7 linked regions of the Macaca mulatta genome follow. The protein of the gene in region 2 interacts with the protein of the main gene of each other region in a pairwise test. Links are inferred from orthologs where the notes say so. Each region holds a gene or a part of one and is shown on either strand. Other genes may lie near its edges.

What was found.
Region 1: the proteins of TRIM27 (region 2) and ATPAF2 interact in binary tests that used the Homo sapiens proteins (3 or more experiments, as listed by UniProt). The two-hybrid records come from large-scale screens. The link is inferred for Macaca mulatta from reciprocal best matches to the Homo sapiens genes TRIM27 and ATPAF2.
Region 3: the proteins of TRIM27 (region 2) and TRIM32 interact in a two-hybrid assay, tested with the Homo sapiens proteins (2 studies listed by BioGRID and IntAct). The link is inferred for Macaca mulatta from reciprocal best matches to the Homo sapiens genes TRIM27 and TRIM32.
Region 4: the proteins of TRIM27 (region 2) and UBE2K interact in binary tests that used the Homo sapiens proteins (3 or more experiments, as listed by UniProt). The link is inferred for Macaca mulatta from reciprocal best matches to the Homo sapiens genes TRIM27 and UBE2K.
Region 5: the proteins of TRIM27 (region 2) and ILF2 interact in binary tests that used the Homo sapiens proteins (3 or more experiments, as listed by UniProt). The two-hybrid records come from large-scale screens. The link is inferred for Macaca mulatta from reciprocal best matches to the Homo sapiens genes TRIM27 and ILF2.
Region 6: the proteins of TRIM27 (region 2) and FBF1 interact in binary tests that used the Homo sapiens proteins (3 or more experiments, as listed by UniProt). The two-hybrid records come from large-scale screens. The link is inferred for Macaca mulatta from reciprocal best matches to the Homo sapiens genes TRIM27 and FBF1.
Region 7: the proteins of TRIM27 (region 2) and NTAQ1 interact in binary tests that used the Homo sapiens proteins (3 or more experiments, as listed by UniProt). The two-hybrid records come from large-scale screens. The link is inferred for Macaca mulatta from reciprocal best matches to the Homo sapiens genes TRIM27 and NTAQ1.

The regions. Positions count from the first base shown.
Region 1 is NC_133421.1:19,597,891-19,601,520, forward strand, and holds part of ATPAF2 (ATP synthase mitochondrial F1 complex assembly factor 2), read right to left. Parts: intron 422-3,630; coding exon 377-421; intron 137-376; coding exon 1-136. UniProt on the Homo sapiens protein: Plays a role in the assembly of the F1 component of the mitochondrial ATP synthase (ATPase).
Region 2 is NC_133409.1:154,437,030-154,440,602, reverse strand, and holds the end of TRIM27 (zinc finger protein RFP), read right to left. Parts: intron 2,188-3,573; coding exon 1,592-2,187; 3' UTR 530-1,591; downstream 1-529. UniProt on the Homo sapiens protein: E3 ubiquitin-protein ligase that mediates ubiquitination of various substrates and thereby plays a role in diffent processes including proliferation, innate immunity, apoptosis, immune response or autophagy.
Region 3 is NC_133420.1:41,594,581-41,598,935, forward strand, and holds the start of TRIM32 (E3 ubiquitin-protein ligase TRIM32), read right to left. Parts: upstream 2,901-4,355; 5' UTR 2,820-2,900; coding exon 858-2,819; 3' UTR 1-857. UniProt on the Homo sapiens protein: E3 ubiquitin ligase that plays a role in various biological processes including neural stem cell differentiation, innate immunity, inflammatory resonse and autophagy.
Region 4 is NC_133410.1:38,909,875-38,914,257, reverse strand, and holds the start of UBE2K (ubiquitin-conjugating enzyme E2 K), read right to left. Parts: upstream 2,924-4,383; 5' UTR 2,875-2,923; coding exon 2,812-2,874; intron 1-2,811. UniProt on the Homo sapiens protein: Accepts ubiquitin from the E1 complex and catalyzes its covalent attachment to other proteins. In vitro, in the presence or in the absence of BRCA1-BARD1 E3 ubiquitin-protein ligase complex, catalyzes the synthesis of 'Lys-48'-linked polyubiquitin chains.
Region 5 is NC_133406.1:113,368,538-113,372,630, reverse strand, and holds the start of ILF2 (interleukin enhancer-binding factor 2), read right to left. Parts: upstream 2,928-4,093; 5' UTR 2,840-2,927; coding exon 2,835-2,839; intron 2,141-2,834; coding exon 2,081-2,140; exon of another isoform or gene 2,049-2,080; intron 1,790-2,048; coding exon 1,747-1,789; intron 554-1,746; exon of another isoform or gene 535-553; coding exon 430-534; intron 55-429; coding exon 1-54. UniProt on the Homo sapiens protein: Chromatin-interacting protein that forms a stable heterodimer with interleukin enhancer-binding factor 3/ILF3 and plays a role in several biological processes including transcription, innate immunity or cell growth.
Region 6 is NC_133421.1:85,649,324-85,653,543, forward strand, and holds the start of FBF1 (fas-binding factor 1), read right to left. Parts: upstream 2,834-4,220; 5' UTR 2,717-2,833; exon of another isoform or gene 2,639-2,716; intron 2,375-2,638; 5' UTR 1,692-2,374; intron 1,658-1,691; exon of another isoform or gene 1,593-1,657; intron 1,502-1,592; exon of another isoform or gene 1,369-1,501; intron 1-1,368. UniProt on the Homo sapiens protein: Keratin-binding protein required for epithelial cell polarization. Involved in apical junction complex (AJC) assembly via its interaction with PARD3. Required for ciliogenesis.
Region 7 is NC_133413.1:133,837,093-133,841,374, reverse strand, and holds the start of NTAQ1 (protein N-terminal glutamine amidohydrolase), read right to left. Parts: upstream 2,803-4,282; 5' UTR 2,741-2,802; coding exon 2,658-2,740; intron 1-2,657. UniProt on the Homo sapiens protein: Mediates the side-chain deamidation of N-terminal glutamine residues to glutamate, an important step in N-end rule pathway of protein degradation.

The sequences.
Region 1 (3,630 bases), on a different chromosome or scaffold from region 2:
GTGTAGTACTTGATGGTATCCTGCTGGGAATCCCATTCAGTGGCCACTGCAATGGCCAGGGCCTCACTGGGGACGGTAAAGAGCTTGGCTTGGGGAGTTTTCAGCTTCCTCTGGTCCAGGTTTATCTCAAAGCCACCTTGAAAGATCAAATGAAAAACTCTCAGGGATTTGTTAAGTGGAATCAAGTGACCATTCCTATATTTAGCCACTTGAATTGGTGCAGACAAAGCCAACTCTGAGTCCCTTACAGAAATATATCTGACAAAAGCAGGAAGGATAATCTCACCACGGAACCAGCTGAAGATGAAAAATGTTCCCGACCATTCACAAAAAAAAAAAAAAAAAAAAAGAGGCAGTCAAAATTTCAGACACTCACCTTCACCCTGTGTGATGCTGACATTCTGATAAAACCTCTTCCTTTCTGTAAGAAAGATTTTTCAAAGAGGCAGTTTAAAATAACGTTGAGACAACTCAGGAAGCGACAGGACCAGCTTGTATCATTACTGCTAATGTTGATTGATTGGCTTGATTTTCATATCCCCATTCAAGGTCTGCCCTACTCAACATGGTATAATCAACTGCTTCTGATTAAAGCTGGGGGTAGGGAGCATCCGATCTCCAGGGAGGAGGGAGGAACAGGACATGCTGGTCATGCCTCTGCCAACCCCCCAGCCTGGGGACAAGTCTGATCAGGAGCATCTCGGCATGCTTTCCCACCCTCCCCACCACCAGTGCCACCCCATGCCAGCACAAACCTAAAGTCGGTGTCTGAGTGGGACAAAGCTAGAGACTCATTTCAGCCAAGACCCTGATGCCTCTAAGGAGTGAGTGGAAAGCCAGTGTGCCTGCGCAGGGTGTGCGTGTGAGGTACATAGGCAGGATGCAGAGCTCCCAAGGGCATTTCCCATCCCCTCTCTCCAATTAATTAACCTAATTAACCAGCTTGCTTATGTATCCAACAGGAACTCCAAACATTTCCTTCAAGAAAGGGAAAATCTGTGTCCTGTGTTTTCTTTTGAAATTAACTTGAATAAAATCTTACATGAAACAGTCTCCTTCTTTTAGCCTGGAGGGATTAACAATCAAGAGTACTTCTAAGGAATTATGCAGATTCCCTCAACTGATAACAAAGAAGTCACATTTTGGAAGCTATAAGCTATAACTTAGTCTCTCACATCTGTGACAAACACAAAACTTTCATTCATTCATTCGTTTGTTCACTCGTTCATGTGTTCACTGAGTTCTCAAAGTCTTCGGAGGCCCTAACTGAAGTTATTTATTGGAAATAATGATGCAGCATGTGGAGGAAAAAAGAGTAAATCATTTGCTTTATTTATTTATTTAATTATTTGAGATGGCTTCTCACTCTCTTGCCCAGGCTGGAGTGTAGTGGTACAATGTCAGCTCACTGAAACCTCCGCTTCCTGGGTTCAAGCGATTCTCCTGCCTCAGTTCCCTGAGTAGCTGGGATTATAGGCGTGCACCAACACTCCAGGCTAATTTTTGAATTTTTAGTAGAGGCAGGGTTTTGCCATGCCAGCCAGACTGGCCTCGAACTCCTGACCTCAAGTGATCCCACCCGTAAGCCACCATGCCCAGCCAAATAATTTGCTTTTAATGCTAAAAAAAAAAAAAAAAAAAAAAAAAAAAAGGCTGGTCACAGTGGCTCATGCCTATAATCCTAGCACTTTGGGAGGCCAAGGTGGGAAGACTGCTTGAGGCTAGGAGTTCAAAACCCAAGCTGGACAACATGATGAGACCCCATCTCTACAAAAAATACAAAAATAAGGCTGGGTGCAGTGGCTCACGCTGTAATCCCAGCACTTTGGGAGGCAGAGGCAGGTGGATCACCTGAGGTCAGGAGTTCGAGACCAGCCTGGCCAACATGGTGAAACCCTGTCTCTACTAAAAATACAAAAATTAGCAAGTATGGTGGCGCATGCCTGTAGTCCCAGCTACTCGGGAGGCTGAGGCAGGAGAATCGCTTGAACCCAGGAGGCAGAGGCTACAGTGAGCTGAGATTGTGCTGCTGCACCCCAGCCTGGGTGACAGAGCAAGACTCCATCTCAAAAAATAATAATAAAAAAATACAAAAATAAAAAATTAGCCGGGCATGGCAGCAAATGCCTGTAGTCCCAGCTACTAGGGGGGTTGAAGCAGGAGGACTGCTTGAGCCCAGGAGGCTGAGGCTGCAGTGAGCTGTGATGTCACCACTGCACTCCAATCTGGGCAACAGAACAAGACCGTCTCTTGAAACAAGCAAACAAAACAACAACAACAACAACAATAATAAACAAGCTTAAGTTAAAATTTCATTAATTCAAACAGACCATGAAAATTCAGGAGAAATTAGTATGTGTGCATGGAGAGGGAAGGGTAATGGAGAAGCAGGCAACTGGTTTTACTCCAAATATTTTTATGTTTTCCCATCATATCAGTTTTCTATAAATCTCATTTGCTATCACTAATACTTAAAGACAGAGGGCCCAAAATTGCATTCCACATTTGCACTTACTAAACTAAGGCCCCAATTTTTTTCCCACAAAAATATTTGTGTGTCTACCATGTGCCTTGGCACTTGGGATACAAGAGTCAATAAAATAGACAGGGAGTTTAAAGTTTTTTTTAGGATCAGATCTGTCCACCAAGATGATGCTGTCTTTCTATGGCACGATTTAGCACTTTCATCTGAAATCACAACACCGATTATCTCGTATGTTTTACACTAAAATTGGAAGTTTACAGCACCCTAGTGCTTTTAAATTTCTTTACATACTGTCCTGGTCAAATCCAAATGGCAGGCTAGACATGGGTCTGGAGGCCTCCTTTCCTCTCTCAGGTCTGGAGTGAGGTAGACCATGCCCTCCATGTTTTCAATGCAACAGGCTGGGCAGCATGTATAAAACCGGGCCAGGCAGGAAGTTGGGAAGGGCTCTGAAAGCTCTGACTCAACACTAGGGAAAGGGTCTTCCCACGTCAGCAGGAAGTGCCAGCAAGAGTGTACAAGTATACAAGAGTGAGCACTCTAGCATACTTCCAGGCCTGGTCTGGGAAGTGAACCCAAGAGACCTGGGCCAGAAGAACAGACTCAGGGCAGGAACTGCCAGCACAGGGCTGAACCTTCACAAGCTCCTGGGACAGCCAGGTTTCCCAAGAGGGAAGTCTTTTTTCTGTTTTCTTGGCCAGGCTCACTTCTGTAACTGAATAAGAAAAAACTAGACGGGAGTGGGATAGACGGAAGGCAGGGAAGGAGCCACCAAAATTGCTTAAAGCAGAAGAAAATCATGCAGAAAATGAGACAGCAGAAGGGCAAAAGGAGCCCAGGGGCTGCCAGTCCTCAGATTAGAAGGCAGGTACACATAGATGTGTTTTAGCCAGGGGCTCTCCTGAATGACCCACTGACACGTGGAGGGGCAAACGTGTCTTGGAACAAGCTTTGGTGAGTAGTGATCATGTTCCAGGACATATGGTAAGTCCTGGGAATGGGACATGTGCAAAGCTCATCTCTGCACCCTCCAGCCACTTACTGTGTAGTAGGAATACAGACCACTAAACCAGGTAAACAATAAGGTGACTTCTGTGATGGGGCAGGCAAGTGGAATGATCAGTCAGAATTAGATTGCAACTTGA
Region 2 (3,573 bases):
AGCACTGCTCTATGTTTGTTAGTAGTATTTATGTACGTGTGTGTGTGTGTGTGTGTGTGTGTGTATATATATATATATAACTGCATACATTTAGATCTCAGAATATTCAGCAAAAGCTAACCTAGCCTCATGGAAGCTACTTTCTATAGCTCCCTTAAAACCTGATGAGTAAATGAAGAATTAGGACATGATATCACCAACTCATGAACCTCAGCCATGGAACCCCAATGCCTGGCACAATACTACAAAAAGGACTTGAGAAAATACTTTCCTAGTAAAATTACAGGGTTAATCAATATAAGAACTGTAGGCTATGAATGTCCAACACTACTTTCTTAGCACCTCTAGAAAGTAGTGATATCATACGGAGAAAGTAGTTTTATTTTCCAGTTTGAAGTAAACTATTGGCCAGAGTGGGATTTTGGGACCCATATGGGAAAGCAACACCATTAACCATTTCCTCCCCACACCCATTCCAACATCTGAACCCAATCCTACCAACACCCAGAAAGCAACAACAATGTAAACATCCATATTCACTTTATTTTTAAACAGAGGGGCATGTACCCAAAGAGAAGCAGGACTGAGAACCATCATGGGGGCTTGCTTGAAGTGATCTGCCCCAGCCTTCTGACTTCAGAGTGTCTCATGATCCAATGGCCATGGGGGTGGAGCTGCCCCTTGACAGTATGCACTTAAGAATGGTCAATTCCCCTATCCCCCAAAGGAAATGGAGAAAAGGAGCCAAGAAGTCAATGAATCCCTGGAATATTGTCTCAGAATCCTTCCAGGGATGGTATACCACTGACCACCAGTCCACAAATGTGACTGGTAAGGGATCTAGTAACAGAGGATGGAGTTGGGCAGAATATTATCCTGGATGATATGCGCCCAGCACTAGAATACACCTTTCATTAGAATGAAGGGAGCAGACAAAACCCTCAGAAAAGATACAAAGGCAGAGACATTGATTAGAACATTATCTCATAACAGAGGTGGGGCCATTACCCACCATTATTGTAAAATAACTGTAACTAACCAAAACACATACAGGCCTCTTTAATGGAGTTAATAAAACTATGGCAGATTGGGAATCAGGGGCAGAGGTACTGTTCCCAGATGGAAAAACTGGGATAACGGAGCCATGCTGACAGGGCCTTGTTCCAGTCTAGGTTGTTAGAAAGGAGCCCTAACCCAGAAATGACAGCAAACAGCCATAATCATTATGTGGGGCTGAACCAGAGGAAGCCAGGCTGAGCCAAGAAGGTGGAAGTATCTGGAATGGCTCTCCAAATCCAAAGATTATCCATACTCTTTATCCCTCCAGCAATGTGTAAAACCAGAAAGTGTGAAACACTGGAGGTGGACATCTGGTTTTTATTTCTAGGATATCTTGATACATCTCATTACATTTCACAATCTGCACGGGAAGGAAAAGGATGGTAGAGAACATGGACATCCTGTCTCCCACTGCAAGGGCATGGAACATGGTAAGTATACCCAGCTGTGACAGGACGTGGCAAGGCAACAAGATGCCTTGTGCCTGGCATAGGATTACAGCCAACAGCCCTTTTGGCCTGAATCCACCTCCTCAAGGGGAGGTCTCCATGGAATGACCATGATTCCCAACATGGCCAGAAAACCCATCTATCCCACTCATGGGGCAGATGATCAGAGGAGCTGCGCTTTTCCCTCCCGAGTAACTCAGACTGAAGTAGGGCCGGACAGGCCCACAAAAGGTAGCATGAGAGAAAGTGAAAGTGTGACACCTCTCTGTCACGTTGTAGAAGGAGACCTCGCCAGCATCATAGTCCAAGAAAATCCCCACCCGCTGAAGCGGGGTCCGCAGGGGGAGGGCAGTCATCGGGGAGGTAAGAGCCCAATATTCTTTCCCATACCACAAAGACACTGCCCAGAATCCATTCTGGGGGGCTGAGGTTACTCCACCTTTTCTGCACACTGAGTCTTCACAGACACCTATGGTCCACTTGGCTTTATCTCCCACCTCTACCTCCCAATAATGTCTCCCAGCGATGAAGCATGGAGAGCCCAAGACACAGGGAAACAGATTGAACCGCTCGGGGTTGTCAGGCAGGTCCTGTTGGAGGTAACTGTACCGCACTTGCCGCAGATTGTCAGAGAGGATCAGGCTGGGGTAGGCCGTGTCTGGGTCCAGAGTCACGTCCACTGCAGAGACACAAAGAAGAGAGTCAGCCACGGGCCAGGAGAGCCTATTCTAGAACACTCAGTGCCTTTCTACTACCTCCCCACGAATGAGAGTTTGCCACTAGAGGTTGCACGTATTTTATTTAGAATATATTCTAAACTTCACATTTCAAAAATTACTGCTTGGATTAGCTGGTTACCAGAATACACTGAAAATACTGAATTTTAGCCCCATATCTTTTCTTTCACATCTGAAGCCACAATATCCATTATGAACCGATTTTAAGAGATAGGGTCCTGTTGCCCAGGCTGGAGCGCAGTGGTGTGGTCATAGTTCATTGTAACCCCAAACTCCTGGGCTCAGGTGATTCTCCCGCCTAAGACTCCCAAGTAGCTGGGACTATAGGTGTGCACTACCACCCTAATTTTAAAAAATTTTTTGTAGAGACGAGGTCTTACTGTTGCCCAGGATGGTCTTGAACTCTTGGCCTCAAGCAATCCTCCCACCTCAACTTCCCAAAGCAATGGGGATTTCAGGCATGAGCCACTGTGCCTGGCAGATACACTGAATTGAGGTTTTCTTACATGCTCATCATCCCTTATTCTGAAAACTTCAGGGGCCCAAAGTTTCACAGAATTCAGAATATTACAGGTTTTAGACAGGTAGGGTCTGGCGCAGCATTCTATAATGAAATATTAATAGATCTGCTATGAGATCCACGAATGTTTACATAATGAAGGATAGACTCTAAACAGCACCACATAAATTCACGTTTTGATACTGTAATTTCCTACAAAATAATGAAAAAGGTTGTGGCTTTCAGAGATTGGGGATTTTAGAACTGTGGGTAAAGGACTGGGAACCTGTATCAGTATGCTTACCTTTTAAATCACTCTTTTACAATTATTTTTTACTGTATTTTTTGAGATGAGGTCTCACTCTGTCACCCAGACTAGTACAGTGGCATAATCATGGCTCACTGCAGACTTCATCTTCCGGGCTCAAGCAGTCTTCCCATTTCAGCCTCCCAAAGTGTTAGGACTACAGGTGTGAGTCACTACACCCAGCCCAAATCACTCTTTTATCCATTCTATAAGATCTTTACTCTGCACATCAAAGCTCTATTCATCTTCTTCTAATGTCCACTGCAAGACACACATCCTCCAAGTTTTTCTTAATCTGCCCAGGCCATTACACTCTTCCTGTTCTGAAATCTGAAACTATGTATGATCCATGTCATCTCCTCTGGCATTTAGTATTACAGCATCTTGCTATCATCAAGTGTTTTCCTGCTTCAAAAACACTGATAATGGGCTGGGTGTGTGACTCATGCCTGTTAATCTCAGCACTTTGGGAAGCTAAGGCAAGAGGATCGCTTGCATACAGGAGTTTGAGACTAGCCTGGG
Region 3 (4,355 bases), on a different chromosome or scaffold from region 2:
TCCTTAGACACAGGCCAGAAGAGAGAGGTAGTATGAAAAACGATGAGCCCTAGAGACTATCCAAGTTTGCTGACTATATCAGCATTTGTTTGCTTATTCCTAGCTTCCTATGCTTTGGCATAATTCCAATCCATATTATGCTTCTTTAAAAGGCAAGCAATTTCCAGGCTGAAGTCGTCAATACCAACCAACTAGGGTCAATCCATTCTGTCACATCTGCAGTTCTCAATCCAAGATGGCACAGATCCTCCAGGCGAGAGGTACTGCTTCCTAAAGGGCCTGTGTATCCCCTTTGGTAGCACTAAATGAATGAGCTTTCACACTGGTAAAGACGATCAGACTGAGACATAATGTTACAGGAATATGTCTGAAATGTCACTGAAAGGTGGAGCATATCCCACTGAAGCATGCACAGTGAATCCAATCAGAGTTGAAGAGAAAGTGTCACAGATGAAGCACATTGTAATAGGAAGGAAACAATGGATCAAGGGCATCAGAGCCAAACGGGAAAAAATCAAGGATTTAATACAAGGGCACATTTCAAACATGGCACAAAGGGCTAAAGTGGCTCTCTCTACTAAAGCCTTGGAAGTGCCTAATTGCTAATCAAACTTCAGCTAACACCATTGCGTGTCCTATTTGGGCAGTGCATCTTTTAAAGCTCTAAATTTAGGTGGGAAGTGGGGAGGGGAAAATAACAAATAAAAAACATAAAAAGATGGAGCTTCTAAAGTTCTAGAACTACCCAGCTGGAATCAGGACATATGCCGAGTCTATTCTCTATGTGCCACTAACAACCAAGAACTATGGGAAGGGAAGCTGGCTTGGGAGCAGAAGAAAATGATATTTCTCATCCCCTATGGGGTGGAGTATCTTCTCAGATGGTAGCTGTAGATCTTGATGCAATGATCCCAACAGTCCAAGACCAGCAGCTGCCCCTTAGGAGTGAGGGCTATGCCCACCGGACAAGTAAGTCCCTCTCGAATAAGGACACTATAGCCCCCACCCTTAGGAAAATGGAGAATTTCCTTGCGACTACTGTCAGCCACAATGAGATCACCACGAGCATCCACACACATGCCAGCAATGCAGCGGAAATCCTCATTCTCCGAGAAGAAGTGGCTAATCTGGCGACCCAGCTGCCCATCGGGACCTACAGAACCAATGGAAAAGCCACCTTCCAGGTGGTGCTCATTCTGTCGATTCTCCAGATTGAGGCCTAAGCCCTGGGTGAAGTAGACGGTGCCCTCAGCATCACAGGTGACAAATTTGGGCCGCACAGCACTGCACAGGCAGCTGTATTTGACCACCCCTGATCCTCGATCAACTGTGAAACACCAAAGCTTTCCACCTTCCACATCAGTTACTACAAACTGGCCAGATGGCAGGGCTGTGATACCCCATGGTTTGCTCAGCTGGCTCCTGTGACAGGCCACACAGTGGCCATCCAAGGTATATACCTTGAGGGAGTTATCATAGCTGTCAGTCACACCAATCAGCCCCTGGCAGTTCATTGCCACTGAGAGAGGAGTGAGGTTGGGTAGATCCGCCCCAAGAAAGCTTAGCACAAAGCTATCAATGCCACTGGGGCTGCGGCGGATTTCCTTCAAAAAGCCTTTGCGGGTAAAGACTTGTATACGATAGTTACCACGGTCAGCAACTAGCACTTCACCTTGACTGGTCACGTAGAGACTGACTGGTAGATTGAACATTCCTGGAGTGCTGCCTTTGGCCCCCATCTTCTTGAGAAAGAGGCACTGCTGGATATTGGAGGCTGCCTCAGGACCCCGCTGTTTAGCAGGTGAGGCCCTAGGGCTGGCAACCACTTCCTCCGGGCTCATGTCCATCTCTCTAAATGTAACAGAGGTAGAAGCAGCAGAGGCTGCCGCCTCCATGGCCCAGGAATCTTCCATGTTAACTGTCCGGGGCTTCTTAACAGCTTGCCCAATTTGGAGGGGGCCAACATGACCTACCTTAAGGAGCTCCACATCTTGCAGGGTGAGCTCCCGAGGTAAGCTGGCAGTAAGCTCTGGCTCCTCCTCATCAGCTGTCTCCTCCAGGAGTGCTACATCTGCTTGCTTGATCTTGGCCAGGAAGTAGTCACAGCGAGACACAGCCTGCACCTCTGCAATGTTAAGAAGGTAACTCTGCTCCTCTACCACTTGACTATTGGACTTCTCAACTTCAGCCAAAGAGCCTGTGAAGAATTTCCGAGAGCGAGCCAGCTCATCCTGGACCCTGCGTTCCTCGTGTCCATACTCCTGGAGAACTGCTTTATACCTTGCCTGAAGGTCCTTGGAGACACCTTCCAAGGCTACCTTCCGCCGCTGCAGCTCCCCCATAAGTTCCCGCAGACGAGTCAACTTCTCTCCAAAGTCCCGACGCCGCTCCTCAGCGGCTTCTTTGACAGGGAGTGTACAGTGGCCAGGAGGCTGATGGTCTGCCTCCCGGCAGGGCTCACATAACACCAAACCACAGCTCCGGCAGAACTGCCGGGGCAGACGCCGCCCACAGGACCGACACATGAGCAGCCCCACAGCCTCGCTGAGCCCAGCTGTATCAATGATCTTTAGCACTGTCAGATTGTCTGTCAGCTGGGTCAAGCTGGTTATGCGGGTAATCTTGCTGCAAAAGGGACAGCGGACACCATTGATGCTACTGGCCAATAGCTTCTCCAGGCACTGGCGGCAGATGGTATGGCCACAGTGCAGGAGCTTGGGACGCAGCTGCTCTTCTGTGAAGGACTCCATGCAGATGGGGCATTCTAGCACTTCCCGGAGGGCATCCAGGTTCAGGTGAGAAGCTGCTGCTGCAGCCATTGCTATTCCTTTGAAGGGTACTGCTAGCACAGCTCAGAACTGAACAGCACAGTATTCATGCCCTAGAGGGTAAAATTCCTGCTAAAGAGAAAAAGAAACCATTATTCATTTTCCTCTGATTATATAAATCAATTCACTCAAGAAACATTTAGAGAATAGCTATGATCAGTCGTTCAGTCATTCACTTACTTAACTATTTTATTGAGGTCTATTATGTGTCATGTGAGGGTGACAGGGAAACAAACAAGACAAAACACTGCATAGAGGGTAATAATTCAGATTCTGGAATCTCAGACACTTACTTAGTTGCATGACCATAAGGAAGTAACTCAAACTTCCAAAAGCTCTTTCCCCATCACTCATCTGTAAAATAGAAAAATGGTGTCTACCTTATTCTATTATTGTAGAACAATCTATTATTGTAGAATAATGGTTATTGTAAGGGCTAAATAACAAGATAAATATGATGTGCTTAGTATATAGCACCAGGGAAGTAGTATACTTTAATAAATGCTAATGATTACTTTCATATTTGGTGAGTTTTACAACTTACAGTTTACACTAACAGAAAAGCACAGGAGAATTACGCACAGTAAAAGGAGTAAGTGTGACATGCAGGTCCACATAATGTTCTGCTGGAGTACAGTGGATGGAATGATAGATTCCACCTAACAGACTTGGGGAAGGCTTCCCAAAAGCAGTTTCACTCCTAAGATAAAGAAATGAAGGACTGAGGGATAAAGGTACTTTAAGCAAAGAAAACCATGTAAGCAAAAGTGTGGAGGCTGTTTTTTTTTTTTTCATCATGTCATAGAGTTTACTGTGTCATGTTTGGGGCCCTAGGAATCATCCACAGACTTAGAAAATTGTGATGATTAGCTTTAGGTAATCTGCAAAACATTAGATCAGAAAATACACATTTTCCATGCATCTATCCTCCTACCTACTCATCTATCCACCCATCTAAGTTTAGGTATCTTGTTCTGTACTAGATACAAGAGGTCTTCAGGATACAGATCCTGCTCTTCAGATATTCAAACTTTATAAAAGACAAGACATGTAGGCAAATAATAATGAAGGCAGAAAGTAGTACTATAAATGAAATAAAAACTAAGTTTGATGGGGGTTGAGGAGTCATTCTAATTTGAAGGGACACAGAATTTTCAAAAGGAAGATGACATTTTATATTGGCCTGGAAAGAAGCATAAACACACGGAGAGGGAAGAAAGGAGGCGGCAAAAGGCACAACCTTAACAAAGTTTAAAAGGCAAAGGAAAGGACAAGAAGTTTCATGTATTAGGAAGAAAACAGAGAATATTTAAAATCTATGCATTTTATTTTCTCCATCTTTAAAATAATAATTTTTAAAATAATAAAGACAGTGGAAATAATACTGTCTTTACAGAGTTAATGTAAGAATTAAATAATCTATAGAGTATATAGAATGCTAAGATTTGGCTCTGCACAAAAAAAGCCTTAAATGAATTTTAGTTCTCTTTTTTATTATCCTTAGATTAAAACAGTGGGAGTATATAT
Region 4 (4,383 bases), on a different chromosome or scaffold from region 2:
CACACTCGTATTTAAAAACAAACATCTAAAACAAAGAAAATAAATATTAATAAATAAAAAGAAACATCTGACAAATTTCCAAACACTGTCTGAAGGGAAAGAGGCCAACTGGTGCCTTTGAGTAAATCACATTCGTATGACACAAAATTAAAAAAATATCTATACCCCATGCCCCAGAGACCCAATTTTTCTACACAGAAAGCAATCAATTTTACCAATTTCTTGTGAAACCTTTTGCCTATAAAGACAAATACACATATTCCCCTCTTTTTAACACAAATGGTGGCTTCTTCCACACTATTCTGCATCTTGCTTTTCACATTTATCTTGTTGGCTGTATTTTAATTAACACACTCTAAGAATGGTCACTTATAATCTCTCATAACCAGAATCCAGTAAGCGTCAGCTATCTTTACAAAGGCACTTACAAGGCCACCCCAAAAAGTCCTTAAATCAACCAGTGTTCTTAGTAAACGCAAGCATACAAGCACATGAAATAAATTTTGGTAAAGTGCAGATTTACCAAAAAAGTGACATGATGAAATATTTATTTGATCAGCCATTCAAAAGACTGGATTTACACCCTTAAAAAGGAAACACACGGACTATACTACAAGTCTTCAATGAGTTGAAAATAATCCACTTATAGAACTGGGGCTACTAAAATATCAAAAAATACTGGCGAAAATAAGCTATTTATTGGTTATATTTATTGCAAGATTAAATGATGTGACTCTTTCCTAAATGTTCTTTGCAACTGATTTTCCCAAAAGAAGTTTCCTTCCATATTTATACAGGTACTGTTCTAAACAACACAAAACAAACAAAAAACCTGTCTGCATTTCCTGTTTTCTTCTTCTGAAACACTTTTGATGCTTATCTGAAGTAAGGCTTCCTCATCCCTTATGTATAAAGAGCAGTGTTTTTTTGTTTGTTTGTTTGTTTGTTTTAACAATATGCATTACTAGAGAGCAATACAAGTATTTCTGGTAATCTTCAACTTAAGTACTACGAATCTCACAGTGAAAAGTGAGCTCATAAAAAGCAAAGAGACCATATTAATTACCAAAGCAGTAACTTACCACTTGTAACAGAAAATAAAGCACTAAAAGTCTATTAAGTTTCAGGCTTGTACAACCTTATTAAACAAGAAATGTTTTAGGTTGTTGGCAACAATATTAGCTGCTATCTTTCATTAGGAGTATGTATGTCAGCTAACCTGGAATACATTTTCATATTAAATAAGTTAAAATTGCTGTTTCACTGTATCAGTACAGACACTTATTGACTCTATTTCTGCGCTGTACCACAAAATACAAAGTCATCCTTCCATTCAGAGTTTTGGCATATGAACACAGAGGTCAGAGTTCATACACATGCTCTGTAAAACCGATCATGACTTACATACTACTACTTTCAATAAGTCTGTTGTCATTTTTGAATTTTAAATAATTTTTCTCCATGTATACTCATCACATATTTAGAATGCTGAATTTCACAAATCATTATTGACACTATCAAAGTACTAACCGTAAAAGAAAAACAAAAATAGCAATGATATATTCAATAATGGTATGTGAATCTTGAAAATAATCATTTTCTGTATTACTTTTTGTTTAATTCATGTGGGGAAGACAATCTGGCATTCTTGTTCATCTTGGTACGACACACTGTACTAATACTTGCATAATTTTGAGTCAAATTACTAGAGCATTGTGAATATCTTACATAAACGTAGTACTAATGTATATAAATTCTGCAGAACTTAAGAGCAATGGCAGGCAATTTTTTTGAAAATCTGTTAAGTCGTGATAAATCTACTCAATAAGGAGATGAAATAATGTATTAATCTGGTGAAATCTCACATTTTTAATAGGTCTACTTTTCAAAAGTAAGAATCAAGTTACCTATGAGGGACATCATAATGAAGTTTCGTGGCACAACACGAGTCACAGAGGCACTGTCTTAGGACAGTCTGATCGGTAACTTGTAAACAATATTTTGAAATAAACTACTCATACAACCCATTATTTTTTTCCTAACTAAAAATATTTACATGTCTTTAATACACCAAACACCTCGCCTTTGCCCACTCAAAAAAGATTGTGATGTCAATAAAAATGAGGCCTACGAATTTGGGGGTTAAGTGGAAGACATAATTATCTCGTTTGGAATAACTTGCTAACTCAGGTGAAAATTCCCTTACCCCCGCCACCAAATAAGACAGTATTCTATTATGTCTCCCTTTGACTCCTAACACCCAACTAAGAAGGACTAACTCTGAATGTCCTTCCTTTCTAATCAATACCTTTGGACTCACCGCTCCTCCCCTACGAAAAGAACAGTGAAGGCCTGACAAGCAATAACCCCAAATACCCTCAAAAGTGTGGGCCTTTGAGCAGCACTGCTCTTCGTATCCAGTTACCACCTTTCCCCTTCCCCCAACCCACTTCCCGGGTTTTCTCAGGCTCGGCCTGCTCCCTCCCCACCCCACAGCCACATTTCCAGCTGTGGCCACCGCCTCGGGTTCTCTCGTGAGCTTCCATCCCTCCGAGGAGCTCCCCCCTGTCCATCAGCTCCCCAAACCGTGTTCCACCCCAGACCACCCGCCCGCGAGACCGTTCATCCTAGCGCTCTGGGAGGGGAGGGGAAGGCGGCGGAAGGAGGAGGGGAACACTGCTGCTTCCTCACAGGCAGAAGGGCGGCCGCAAGGAGGGCCACCCAGGGACTACCGAGGATATCGGGGTCGCAGCTGGGAGGACCCTCCCGCTCCAGGCAGAGATGGGGGATATCCGGGAGTTCATTTCTGACCTCCTCGCTCTTCAGCACCTCCTTGAACTCCCGCTTGATTCGCTGCACCGCGATGTTGGCCATGTCTCCGCCCGCAGCTGATTCGTACCCGCCTCCTCCGCCACCGCTACGACCACCGCCACCGCCGCCACCTCTTCCTCCACCGCCTCCTCCCCCGGCGATTCAGACCCGAGCACACGAACACTGCCACTACCACCCCGGCCGCCGCGCTCGCCTCAGTGTGGAATCACCTCCGCGCCCGGCCACCAAAATGGCGCCGGGTCGGCGCATGCGCACGACGCTGACCCGGCCGGGCGGCGCAGCCGCTCCCGTTGTAGCCCCCATACGCCCGAGCCACGAGCTCGCGTCTCGGCTGGGGCTGCGGCCGCGTGGCTCCGCCCTGCCGGCGTCTGGGGCCGCTAGGGCGCGGCTTCCAAGGTGGCCGGCCGTAGCCTGCCCGCCCGGTCCTACCCGGCGCCTCCGCTCCTGTTTAAACCCAGGTGCTGTGGTCGGGGCTTCCAGCGCTGGCCTCTGACCGAAGGTTCGCGCGCAGCCGAACGGGTTCCCGAAGCCGCACTCGGCTGGAACGCCGCCCTGACTCAGCTAGACCCGGAACCCGGAGGCTGAACGCCGTGTCTAGCGCAGGAAAACGCTCTCGCGGATCTCGGTCCGGCCCATTTTCAGTTGGTGTAGCCCCAGAAAATCCACTGCAGTCGTTTTTGTTCTGCAACATTTATAGTACCACGATTATTCCCATCATCTCAGGTAGCACAGATTATCGAATTAAGGCTGGTTATTGTTGGATCAGATTGGGTTTGAGACAGGTACTCGGTGGAGAGGCCTGAGGGTGGGTTTACAAGTCAGATGTTGATCTTTGACCTATTTAATACCGAGCTTGACACACACACACTCTCTGTCACACACACACACCACACACACACACACTCCTGTGCCCATCCCTAGAGTGTGGAGCGGGCCTAAGACTGCGTTTCTAACAAGTCTCCCAGTTGCTGCTGCTGTTGGTGCTGGTTCGGGGACCACACTATGAGAACCACTGAACTGAAGCGTGTGAAAATTCATATATATTAAATTGAAAACTGGAGAAATAGAAATTATAGTGCCCTTCAGGGGACTGGGATGGGGGAGGGGGAGCCTTATTTCTGTAAACCTAGGCCTACAAAGGTGCTTGGTGATAGTAGGCACTCTATAAATATTGAATGTGTAAATGAGTACAGATAAGAGTAAAACGCTTTTGCTGGCGCGGCGGATCACTTGCAGTCAGGAGTCCGAGACCAGCCTGGCCAACATAGTGAAACCCCGTCTCTACTAAAAATACAAAAATCAGACAGGTGTGGTGGCAGGCGCCTGTAATCCCGGCTATTCTGGAGGCTGAGGCAGGAAAATCGCTTGAACCTGGGGGGCGCAGGTTGCAGTGAGCGAGATCGCGCTACTGCACTACATACAGCCTGGGCCACAGAGCAAGTTTATGTCTCAAACAATACAAAACAAAAAGTATAAAATATTTTAAGTAGAAAGTAAGTTTGAAAGTGGTTTCTGGTCGGGCGCGGTGGCTTATGCCTGTAATCCCAGCAC
Region 5 (4,093 bases), on a different chromosome or scaffold from region 2:
AATCAGATTATCAATCACATTGTTTATTTTTGTCACCAGAGAAAGGATAGATGCCTGAAAAACAGCATGAAACAATACTCGAAGATGAAAAATTAGAAGCAAATTCTCAGAGTTTGAGTATTTTCTCCTAATCCCTTCCATACGAGCTGACTCAATACTGACCTAGGACTTTAAAAACACTTCATTCTGGCCTTGAATATATGGAAAGAGAACAACTCTTTATCCCCAATAAAAATAAGAATGCATATGTAATTTGTTTATATATCCACCTGGCTGTCTCCACCCACAATGAGAAATAAGGAGAACAATTAAACCCTCTGTGGATTTCAGGCTCTGTTAACACCATTCTTAACCTTACCAACAGTTACTCTTTACCAATACTTTTACCTGCTTTAGAGACATTTCTGGAAGACAGCCAAAAGAACATACCTGTTCAGCAGAATTAGGAGCCAGGTCCTGATTCCTCTTCAGCAAGGCCTCACTGAAGGAGGTTTCATCAGGTGCTGGCTTGACCCGGGGGAAGGCCATTTCACACTAAACCAGAAGTAAACAACTACATTCCATTTGCCGAAAATAATATACAGGAGAGATTGTTTTTTCTATTACTACGACAGAAAAAGGTTAAAAATAGAAAATTCTACACTTGTTTTTACTCCTTAATTTGTTCAATTAGCTGGGCATGGTGGCTCACGCCTGTAATCCCAGCTGAGGTGGGAGAATCCCTTGAACACAGGAAGCGAGGCTGCAGTGAGCCAAGATCGTGCCACTGCACTCCAGCCTGGGCAACACAGTAAGACCCTGCCTCAAAAAAAAAAAAAAATTTTGTTCAAAGGCCAGGCATGGTGGGTCACGCCTGTAATCCCGGCACCTTGGGAGGCCGAGGTGGGCAGATCGCTTGAGGTCAGGAGTTCAAGATCAGCCTGGGCAACATGGTGAAACCCCGTCTCTACTAGATACCCAAAAAATAGCTGGGCATGGCGCCTATAATACCAACTACTTGGGAGGCTGAGGCAGGAGAACTGTTTGAACCTGGGAGGCAGAGGTCCTGATTCCTCTGCCTCCCGGGTTCAGTGCAGTGAGCCAAGATTGCACCACTGCACTCCAGCCTGGGTGACGGAGTGAGACTCTGTCTCAAAAAAAAAAAGAAAAAATGTTCAAACAAGGATACAAGCTGGAATAGCCATAATTTAAGCTATCACTATCTTTATAGTAACAAATTAGCCGTAGATACGATTACTTGTTCAGAACAAAGATTATAATCATGTTTAATGCCAACAGTAGTCAAGGAATTATTCTCCCCACCATGCTTACACTGTTTCTGTAGGTAAAGCAACACACAGTTGACTCAAAACCCCAAGTCTTTTCAAAAATCACTTTCCCCCTCACTTCAATCACCATTTTTTTTTTTTTTTTGGTAGTGGTGCCATCTCAGTTCACGCAACCTCCGCCTCCCGGGTTCAAGCGATTCTCCTGCTTCAGCCTCCCAAGTAGCTGGGATTACAGGCACACGCCCAAGCAACTTTTTTATTTTTACTAGAGATGGGGTTTCACCATATTGGCCAGGATGGTCTCAAACTCCTGACATCAGGTGATCCATCCGCCTCGGCCTCCCAAAGTGCTGAGATTACAGGTGTGAGGCACTGTGCCTGCCCTCTTCAACCACTATCTAACTTCATTAACTGGGAGATACTAGGCTCCATTTCAAGAATGGCCAGAAATTGTGTATTATTAACCCAAGGTACTCACCAAATAGAAGTCAAATGGGATATGTGGTACAAAGGGCCTGAACCTAAAACATGAAAAACAGCCAAATTATTCCCTATGTAGGAATCAAGTGAGATTTAAATAACACACCAACAATTTTGAAAACATGTCAGACCTCAGAATGAGTGACAAAGTCTCTGGGGAGGGAGAGAATCATTCTTAGCATAGTGGGGCCAAATTCATTTAGCAGGAGTGCGGAAAAGACCACAGTTGGCTCTCACAAAACCAAGTGACATTAGTCTATTCCAAAACTCCTATTTAGATGACAAGCAGAAACTAACAACTAAGTGCAGAGATGCTAAAAGCTGGCACTCACCCTCCTCCTGGGCCTCCTCTGGAACCAAAGCGCCCACCACGACCACGGCCTCTGTCACCCCTAGAAATGCAGATTTTATTTTGATCTCATTGAAGGAATACCCACCGGCCATATCATTTTAAGTTGGCTACTTTCATCCCTCGGAACCTCCCAACGGTAGGCAAGAGACCCCACTCACACACTCCTCCCCATTCCAAATGGTGCCCAGTTACACCCCCATAACCTCCTCATTCTGGATAAGTTAATCACAACCCCCCATCAAGTAATGATGGGGCTCAGACAGTGAGCCCTACACGAAATAACCCATAATCCTGGGCCACACGAATCCTAATACTTCGGAAGCTAAAGATTGCTCATTTCTTCATTAACGTACACATTTATCGGGCATGTCCTATATGTCAAGCCCTTCGCACTGAGGATGAATGCGGCTCGCTCCAGCATTCTCAGCCCGGATGACGGGGGCGGAGGGAAGGTGGGGAGCTCCTCCGGGGACTTGAGGACACCTCCTCATCGCAACCCTTCAGAGAGAGGTGTCGAACCCGCCTCCCCACTCCTGGGCCCCAACCCCATCCCGGGCCCGTTTCCCCGCCTCTACCGGCCTCACTCTCTCCCACTCTCTTAGACCAGGAGTTCTCAGGTTTTTGGCCAGCTCCCGGATACATGGTCCTTTTAGGTACTCCGACTTCTTTCGACCCACGTTCCCAAAGTTTTCCGTCGAATACCTGAAACCTTTCGACCACTTCGACCCCCTTACCTCATGGCGCCTTAAAACACGAACAATGGAGGCCGCACCAACCGCCCCTTTCCTCTGAGGAGCAGACAACTGAAGAGGAGTCTTGCCGGCGTGTCCCAATAAAACCCGGCGTGATTGGCTCCCGCCTTACCCCATCGCTTATGCCTATTGGCTTACTTTGTCAAACCGGGCTTATGAACCAATAAAAAACGCCTACTGTGTCAGGAACTAGCCAATAAGAACTGGTTCTATAGTAATGACGAATTTTTGATCAGACATTAGGTGGCACTGAAGAAGTCAGGACAACGACTACGTGGTCTTCTATAACAGTTATGAGAACGTTGGCCTTCAGATAGCAGAGTGGCGCAGCGGAAGCGTGCTGGGCCCATAACCCAGAGGTCGATGGATCGAAACCATCCTCTGCTATCGGAATTTTTTCATTGCCCTGTACCGTACACGTAATTTACATTACATTCAGTGAATGAAAATACCTTGCCGATTTTCCTACCCCAAAAACGCAAGCAGTATCAGCCATTTTTGCCACTAGCAGTTGAAGTTGATGGGGAAAAGGGAGTTTAGGCAACCATGAACACTACACGTCTACAAACTCGAAGCAGGAGAAACAGGTTTCAGATAGGAGGAGTATATTGATTGAATTAATGTGGAAAACAGGTGTTCCACCCGCCTCAGCCTCCCAAAGTGCTGGGATTACCGGCCTGAGCCACCGCGCCCGGCTTGGTTACATAAATTCTTTAGTGGTGATTTGTGAGATTTTGGTGCACTCATCACCCGAGCAGTATACACTGAATCCAACTTGTAGACTTTTATCCCTCATCTACCTCCCTTCCATACGTACTTTTTTGATATTTAATTTACTACAGCAGAACGTAAACATCTTAAGTCTAAACGTATTCTGTCCACATAACCACCATCCAGATTTAAATAAATGTTATTAATTTAAAAAAAAAAAAAAAAAAAAAGGGCCGGGTGCGGTGGCTTGTGCTGGCGGGCACTTGTAATTCCAGTTACTCAGGAGGCTGAGGCAGGAGAATCTTGAATCCAGGAGGCGGAGGTTGCAGTGAGTTGAGATGGCGCCACTGCACTCCAGCCTGGGTGATAGAGGGAGACTCCGTCTTAAAAAAAAAAAAAAAAAAAAAAAAAAAAAAAAAAAATCTTGCTTGAGGTTTGTTGAGCTTCTTGAATCAATGGCTTGAGGTTTGTCATCCATTTATATAATTTATTAGCTATTATATCTTCCAGTATTAGTTTTACCTATTATT
Region 6 (4,220 bases), on a different chromosome or scaffold from region 2:
AGACAGAGTGAGACTCCGTCTCAAAAAAAAAAAAAAAAAAAAGAGAGAGAGAGAGACAGGGCGCAGTGGCTCACACCTGTAATCCCAGAACTCTTTGGGAGGCTGAGGCAGGTGGATCACCTGAGGTCAGGAGTTTGTGACCAGCCTGGCCAACATGGTAAAACCCCATCTCTACCAAAAAATACAAAAAATTAGCTGGGTGTGGTGGTGGGCACCCAGCTACTTGGCAGGCTGAGGCAGGAGAATCGCTTGAACCCGCTAGACGGAAGTTGCAGTGAGCTGAGATCATGCTATGCATTCTAGCCTAGGCAACAGAGCAAGACTCCATCTCAAAAAAAAAAAAAAAAAAGATGGTTTAACAGAGCATGAATCCAAGGTTTATCAAAGCTTCTCTCACTTTGCCCATTCAAGAGGTAAAACCCATTTCCATAAATTAAAAATTCCTTATAGGGGATGCACTTCAGAAGAGGAACAAAGTACTCTCAGGCTGGGCGCGGTGGCTCACACCTGTTATCCCAGCACTTTGGGAAGCTGAGGTGGGCAGATCACTTGAGGTCAGGAGTTCAAGACCAGCCTGACCAACATGGTGAAATGTTGTCTCTACTAAAAATACAAAAACTAGCTGGGTGTGGTGGCACATGCCTGTAATCTCAGCTACTCAGGAGGCTGAGGCAGGAGACTCGCTTGAACCCAGGAGGAGAAGGTTGCAGTGAGCCAAGATCGCCCCACTGCACTCCAGCCTGGGCAACACGTGAGACTCTGTCTCAAAAAAAAAAAAAAAAAAAAAGTGCTCTGGAGAACTTAACGGGCTTTCTAAAGCTTTGAGATTACTTGAAAAAAGGGCAGTTGGCCGGGCACGGTGGCTCAAGCCTGTAATCCCAGCACTTTGGGAGGCCGAGGCGGGCGGATCACAAGGTCAGGAGATCGAGACCACAGTGAAACCCCGTCTCTACTAAAAATACAAAAAATTAGCCGGGCGCGGTGGCGGGCGCCTGTAGTCCCAGCTACTCAGGAGGCTGAGGCAGGAGAATGGCGTGAACCCAGGAGGCGGAGCTTGCAGTGAGCCGAGATCGCGCCACTGCACTCCAGCCTGGGCAACAGCGTGAGACTCCGTCTTAAAAAAAAAAAAAAAAAAAAAAGAAAAAAGGGCAGTGGCCATGATCCCTTACCCTGAAAGCTGATGCGGCAAGTGGCAAGTACTCATTTCAGAAAGGAGGTGGGTACCTGGCACCAAGGCTGAAACCCTTTCCCAGGCAGCACCCATGACTACTTTCTAAGCAGCATTTAGCACAAAAGCAGGTGTGAGCTCTGGTTACTCTTTGATATTCTTTTTCTTTGTAAAATCTTTTTTTAGAGATGGGGTCTCACTGTGTTACCCAGGTTGCTATTGAACTCTGGGGCTCAAGCAATCCTCCTGCATTGGTCTTCCAAAGTGCTGGGATTACAGGTATGAGCCACCACATCCAGCAACACGATTTTCACTGACAGTGGAAATATTTCCCTTTACATAGGCAGTAAATCTGACCCATTGAGAACAGTTTTCTTCAGAATTAGCTCTCTCCCTCCCCCTCCTCCACTTTACCAAAACCCACCTACAGGATGTCCTGGAAGAAAGGAGTCAGAGGGGTCCTCTCTCTGTCCCAGGTGTTGGCCTGTCCTGTTATTGGAATGCAAGGGTTATCTGGGCTTACCTACAGAGTCCACCTTGAATAATTGAATACATGTGTTTTCTTTTTTTTTTTTTTTAGATGGAGTCTTGCTTCTGTTGCCTAGGCTAGAGTGCAGTGGTGCAATCTTGGCTCACCGTAACCTCAGCCTCCCGGGTTCAAGCGAATCTCCTGCCACAGCCTCCCGAGTAGCTGAGAATACAGGCGTGCACCACCATGCCCAGTTAATTTTTGTATTTTTAGTAGAGACGGGGTTTCACTGTTGGCCAGGCTGGTCTTGAACTCCTGACCTCGTGATCTGCCTGCCTCGGCCTCCCAAAGTGCTGGGATTACAGGTGTGAGCCACCGCGCCTGGCCTTCTTTCTTTCTTTCTTTTTTCCAGACACGGTCTCACTGTTGCCCAGGCTGGAGTGCAGTGGCGCGATCACAGCTCTCACAGATCACTGCAGCCTCGACCTCCTTGGGCTCAGGCGATCCTCCAATCTCAGCCTCCCTAGCAGCTGGGACCACAGGCACACGCCACCATGTCAGGCAAATTTTAAAACTTTTTTTGTGGAGACGGGTCTCCCTACGTTGCCCAGGGTCGTCCCAAACGCCTGGCCTCGAGTGATCCTCCCGCCTTGGCCTCCCGAAGTGTTGGGATTACAGGCATGAGCCACCGTGCCCGGCTTTGTGTTTCTTTTTCTCTGCAATGGCGACATCACGACCTACAAGTCCAAATGTGTCCCATAACACATCATGGAACTTCTGGCATCTCCTATCAATCCTGTACGGGCTTCAAACTATGGGGATTTTCTAGGCGTGGTTTGCCAAGGCCAAAGGGCTACAGTGTAACCCCGTCCCTACCTCTATTCAGCCGACTCCATGCCAGGCGTTTTACAGATCCCGAGACCACCCCTAAACAAGACCCCTAACCGGAGTAGCCCCTCCGTCCCCTCCGTCCCGAGACTCCGCGCCCCTCAATGCGTCACCCTTCTGAGCGCCCGGCCTATATGGCCCCCGAGAGCAGCCTGTAATGCTCCCAGCCCCTGAAGCTTCCCGTTACGCGCCGTGTCCCCGGAGGTGCGGCCGCTGGGACCAGCACCGGCCCCGGCTCCATTCAGGTCGCCCAGCCCGGCCAGGCCTCCCGCTTCCAGCCGCTGCTGCCACCCTCAGCCGTCCGGCCTCCCGCGGAAAGGCGGGCGCGAGGCATCCTGGGAGTCGTAGTCGGCGGTTTGCTCACCTGCCCGCACAGAGGAGACAGGGACGACGTGAGGAACTACAGCTCCCAGGGAGCCGCGCGCGGCCGTTGGCGGGGCCGGGCCTCTGCCGGCGGTGGGCACGTTGCTAGGAGCTGCCCCAACGCCTCTCCAGGAAGAGGGCGCCAGGCTCAAAGGCCCTCTTGGGAACTGCCGAGACGCTTAAAAGTTCCTCCTGCCCACTTCTGAGGGCTGACACGTGGCCGGCGCGGAGGCATGAGAAATGTGTTGATATTGGGAGGTTGACGGGTGAATCCACGAATTCACCCGTGTTTATTCCACACCCCAAAGCTTGAGGGAAGTGACTGACCTTCCTGTTTAATGATCCAATCAAAGCTGTATAGCCAGAATGAAACCCAATACTGTCACCCCACAAAAAGATACGTCACATTTTTTCTAGTATGTGCTAATTATGAATTTTATTAAGGTTTATTCAATTTCACAGAGGAAAGAACGGTTTGTAGTTTGGCTTACCCGCAGTGCTGGCAGGTCACAGCTGTCCAACCATGATTCATTCACATGCTCTGGCCCCGTGCCCCTCGTCCTCCCACCTCTGCCCCCACAGGACACCATCAAGCCAGGGCTGGGTAACAGCATATGCTAAATACATCTTATCAGGTATGAACCAAACTCAAGCCACGACAGCAAAGGCGGAAAAAGGTAGCAAAGTAATTATGTGCTCCCAAGGCATACAGTCATTTAGTTGAATCCATAACAGTTGGAAATTAAAAGGCATTTATGAAGTGTAGTCCGCAGTCTGAATGTGGAAGGTGGAAGATCACACATTTACTAATCTAAGAAACACTCAAAACATATTTTGGTCTAAAAAATCCCCAATTTTCCATGATCTTCCCAAGACAACCAATGACCCACTTAAACTTAAGGCAGAAACACCCTTGAATCTAGGAACGTGCACATATGCAACAGCTAACATCTGGTAACTCTAACAATGTTCCTTATATGTTTCTGTGTTTACTATCATGGACCATAGGAATCAAGTACTGGAAAATTTAGTAAGCGTGCACAAAAGCAAAACACTGGCTGGGCGCAGTGGCTCACGCCTGTAATTCCAGCACTTTGGGAGGCTGAGGTGGGTGGATCACGAGGTCAGGAGTTCAAGACGAGCCTGGCCAACTTGGTGAAACCCCGTCTCTGCTAAAAATACAAAAAAATTAGACGGGCATGGCAGCAGGTGCCTGTAATCACAGCTACTCAGAAGGCTGAGGCGGAGAACTGCTTGAACCCAGGAGGCGGAGGTTGCAGTGAGCCAAGATTGCACCACTGCACTCTGGCCTGGGTGAAAGAGCAAGACAGC
Region 7 (4,282 bases), on a different chromosome or scaffold from region 2:
CCACTATTATCATTAAGCAGGGTCTTGAAGCATAAGTAACATTTGGAAGCTAACATGACAGAAGCTAACAGAAGTAGACAGGAGGCACTCATTTCAAGTTTAAAAACCTGCAGGATGGCCAGGCATGGTGACTCATGCCTGTAATCCCAGAACTTTGGGAGGCCGAGGCGGGTGGATCACCTCAGGTCAGGAGTTTGAGACCAGCCCGGCCACTGTGGTGAAACCTCATCTCTACTAAAAATACAAAAATGAGCCGGGCATGGTGGTGGGTGCCTGTAGTCCCAGCTACTCGGGAGGCTGAGGCAGGAGAATGGCTTGAGCCTGGGAGGCAGAGGTTGCAGTGAGCCGAGATGGCACCACTGCACTCCAGCCTGGGTGATAGACTGAGACTCCGTCTCAAAAATAAAAAAACCCCACAAAGCTGCAGGAGCCAAAGTAGTGCAGTGCCCCCACCTGACATGTTCAGACAGGGTAGAGCACTGTTTCTCAGCAAAAGGCGATTTTGCCCCCCAAGCCCTACAGGACACTTAGCAATGTCTGGAGACATTTTTGGTTGTCACAACTAGAGCTAGGGTGCTAACAGCATCTAGTGGGTAGAGGCCAGGGATGCTGCTACATGTCCTGCAATACACAGGACAGCCCCCATAGCAAAGAATTATCATGCTCAAAATGTCACTCGAACCTAGGCGGAGAAATCCTGCGGTAGAGTGGTCAACTCTTACCATTCTTCTACAAGACTGCTCTAACTCTGATACTCCAATTGTACCAGTCTCCTCACTGTTTCTATCATACAGCACAATTCCTTCTCAGAGCCTTTGTACCTGCTGTTCTCCCTGCTTAAATGACCATCCTCCAATAGATGCAAAGCTCTCACCCTCTTTTTTCAGATCTCTGTTCAAATATCACCTTATCAACAATGTCTTCTCAAAATATCCTAATAGAAAATAAGCCACCATCCTTTATCTTATTTTTCTCACAGCACTTAACACCACCCAAACATGGTTTACTTGTTTTTGTCTGCCTTTTTTTTTTGAGATGGAATCTCGCTCTGTTTCCCAGGCTGGAGTGCAGTGGCATCGGCTCACAGGAATCTCCTCCTCCCGGGTTCAAGCGATTCTCCTGCCTCAGCTTCCCGAGTAGCTGGGATTACAGGCGTGTGCCACCACACCTGGCTAATTTTTGTATTTTTAGTAGAGGCAGCCTTTCTGCATGTTGGCCAGCCTGGTCTCAAACTCCTGGCCTCAAGTGATCCGCCCACCTCAGCCTCCCAAAGTGCTGGAATTACAGGCGTGAGCCATCGCACCGGACCTTATCTGCTTTTCTCTCATCAAAATACAAGAACCAAGGGATCCATGAGTGAATTTGTCCATCTTGTTCACTGCTGTATCTCCAGTGCCCAGAAGTGGGCCACATACTCCAAGTGCCTAATACACATTTATTGAATGAATGAATAAAACAATGGACATTAGGGAGGAGAACTAACGGGATTTAGAAGAGGCAGGACAGAAAAAGAGTGCAGCAGTTAAGATGCATGAACTTCAAAATCACGAAGATGTTCCAGTTTCAGCACCACCACTTGCTAGATGTGTGATCTGGGGGCACACAACAGCCTCTCTGTGGCTCACTCTTTTTATTAGTAAAATGAGGATAACGATAGTAAAAGAAGCTACTCATGGACATCGATGGAAGCACCTGCCACTGAGCCTGACATGCAATCAGGGCCGAACAAATGCTCGGTGGCATTGATTTAGTGACAAGCAGAAGGGGGAAGGGTAGTTTTAGATAGCACTGAGGGTTCCTGTGCAAGGACTAGAAGAAGCTGGGGAAGAAACCATTACTCAGGAAAGAGTAGGCATGGGAATGAAAAAGGACCAAGGCAGGGGCGGTGCTTCAGCTGCAGAGGTGGCCTAGGACAGGGGTGCAGAGCATGGACTCCGGGGCCAGACTCTGCCTGTAAATCCCCACTCCTTCATTCACAAGTGATGTGGCCCTGCGCAAATTACTTGCAGCCCTCTGTGCTTCAGTGCTCTCATCTTTAAACTGGGGATAACAATACCTACCTCTTAGGGTTATTGTGATACTCAGTGATTTAGTTTACCTAAACCACCCAGAACAACGCGTGGCATATAGCAAGGGCTGTGTGAATGTAACCATTATTATAATGACAACATGGTTAAGATCATGGTTTCTGGTGCCAGAGAGCCCGAACTGGATTCCTGGCTGCTATTAGCTGGGTGACCTTGGGAAGTTATCCCAAACTCTCTGTGCTTCCATTCTCTTCCAAAATTAAAATGACCTTCGCCTCAGTCTGAAACCCCACATGCTTCAGCAGAGTAACTTCCAAAGGTTTTCAGAGCTCCACCCTCCCTAGCCCCGAAGCAGAGATCTGCTGAGCAAATCCAACCGACAAGCGCCAGGCACAGGTAATGCACTATCGACCCTAGGATTCCGGACGAATTCCCAACCCCATCCAACAGCCCACGCTCTACTCAAGAGACAAGAGCTGCCATTCCCGCTCCCTACTCCCGCAGAACTGTAGAACCCGCCGGTAGAGGCCGGGAGCGCCCCCGAGCAGGGGCCGGGAAGAGGCGGGGCCTGGTTGCAACTCGCGGCCCGGGAGCCAGGGAGACCCAGAGGCTGCGCCCGCGCCCCCTCACCAGTAGCAGCTGCTGTAGACACAGGCGTCCCGCGGGGGACTGGCCGGCTGGTAGTGGACGGCAGTGGGGCCATTACCCTCCATGGCCAGCTAGCTCAGCCAGCGCCGACGCCGGAGGAAGACCGACTGGACCACACGTAGGAAAGGGCGGGCGTGTAGCGGCACGCGCGGGCTCTCAGGGCGGGGTGGGAGGAGCCCGGGGCGGCCGGGACAGTTTCCGGGCGGTGGGGCCAGGAGCGCGGTGGGCGGGGCTCGCAGCACGAGTTCTCAGCGCGGGAAGCCGGGGACGAAATGGGCAGAGCTCGGGCAAGCGGCGCCAGTTCCTGGGAAGGTGGAGCCCAAGCGAAGTGGGCGGGTCCGGGGTGGGGTGAGCGGCGAGAACTCCCGGTGGGCGGAGCCCGGGACGAGGAGGACTGCGTGCTTCCGGGTAGGCGGAGCCCGGCTGGTGGGTGGAGCCCGGGGTGGGGCAGGACTGGAGGCTTGGGCTCTCGTGGGCGGAGTCAGGGGCGGGGCCCCGGTGAGGTTTGGGAGAAGAGGGGTCTTTGGCGGCGGCTTAGGGTGGAGCTAGGTTTGGGCTTGGAGTTGGGCCCTGAATAGCGCTTCGCTGTGAATCTCCCGGGGAGGCTCTTCCAACTTGGGGCTGAGCTTCTGCGCTGTGGAGAAGCCAGGTGAGACACTGAAATAACAGAGGTTTGGGTGTGAAAATCCACACTTCAGCACTCAGCCTGGAGTCCGCGGGAGCCCAGAGAAGAGGAGGGGAGTGGAGGTTAATTCCAATATGACCGCATCGAGGACGCTTTCCGAAAGGGATAGCACACCAAATCTCACTCTATTGTAACTTAATCTTTTAAATTGGAAGACCTATATCTATTGGCTCGAAAAGATATATTAATTCCCTGATATAGTAAATTTGAAAAAAAAAGTTTAAAGAGTCCATATGGTATCGTTTTTGTGTTAATCATGTGTTTGTTCATTTACTGGCAGTCTGGAAGAAAAGACACCATATTGTTAAAATAGTATTTAGGGCCGGGCGCCGTGGCTCAGGCCTGTAATCCCAGCACTTGGTAAGGCCGAGGCGGGTGGATCACGAGGTCAGGAGTTCGAGACCAGCCTGGCCAAAATGGTGAAACTCCGTCTCTACTAAAAATACAAAAATTAGCTGGGCGTGGAGGCGCGCGCCTGTAGTCCCAGACACTCGGGAGGCTGAGGCAGGAGAATCGCTTGAACCCGGGAGGCGGAGGTTGCAGTAAGCCAAGATAGTGCCATTGCACTCCAGCCTGGTCGACAGAGCAAGACTCCGTCTCAAAAAAAGAAAAAAAATAGAATTTATCTATGGTGAATGAATAGTATTAATATCAGGGACTTTCAGTTTCAAGGACTTTACACTTTACAGTCTTCTGAATTGTTTATATTTGCAATGAGGATAACTCGCTAATCAGGGTACTTCCCATTATAAAAACTGAGATGTTTACATTGATTTTAGCCATCCACAGTCTGATTTTCCAATCTCTTGAGTCCCAAAGCCGATAAATCCTAAAGACTTTGAGCCCAGTTCCTGTGTCAATTACCAATTTTATTGCCTCTCAGCTCCTAATACAAACTTCCACATAGCCTCTATGCTATATA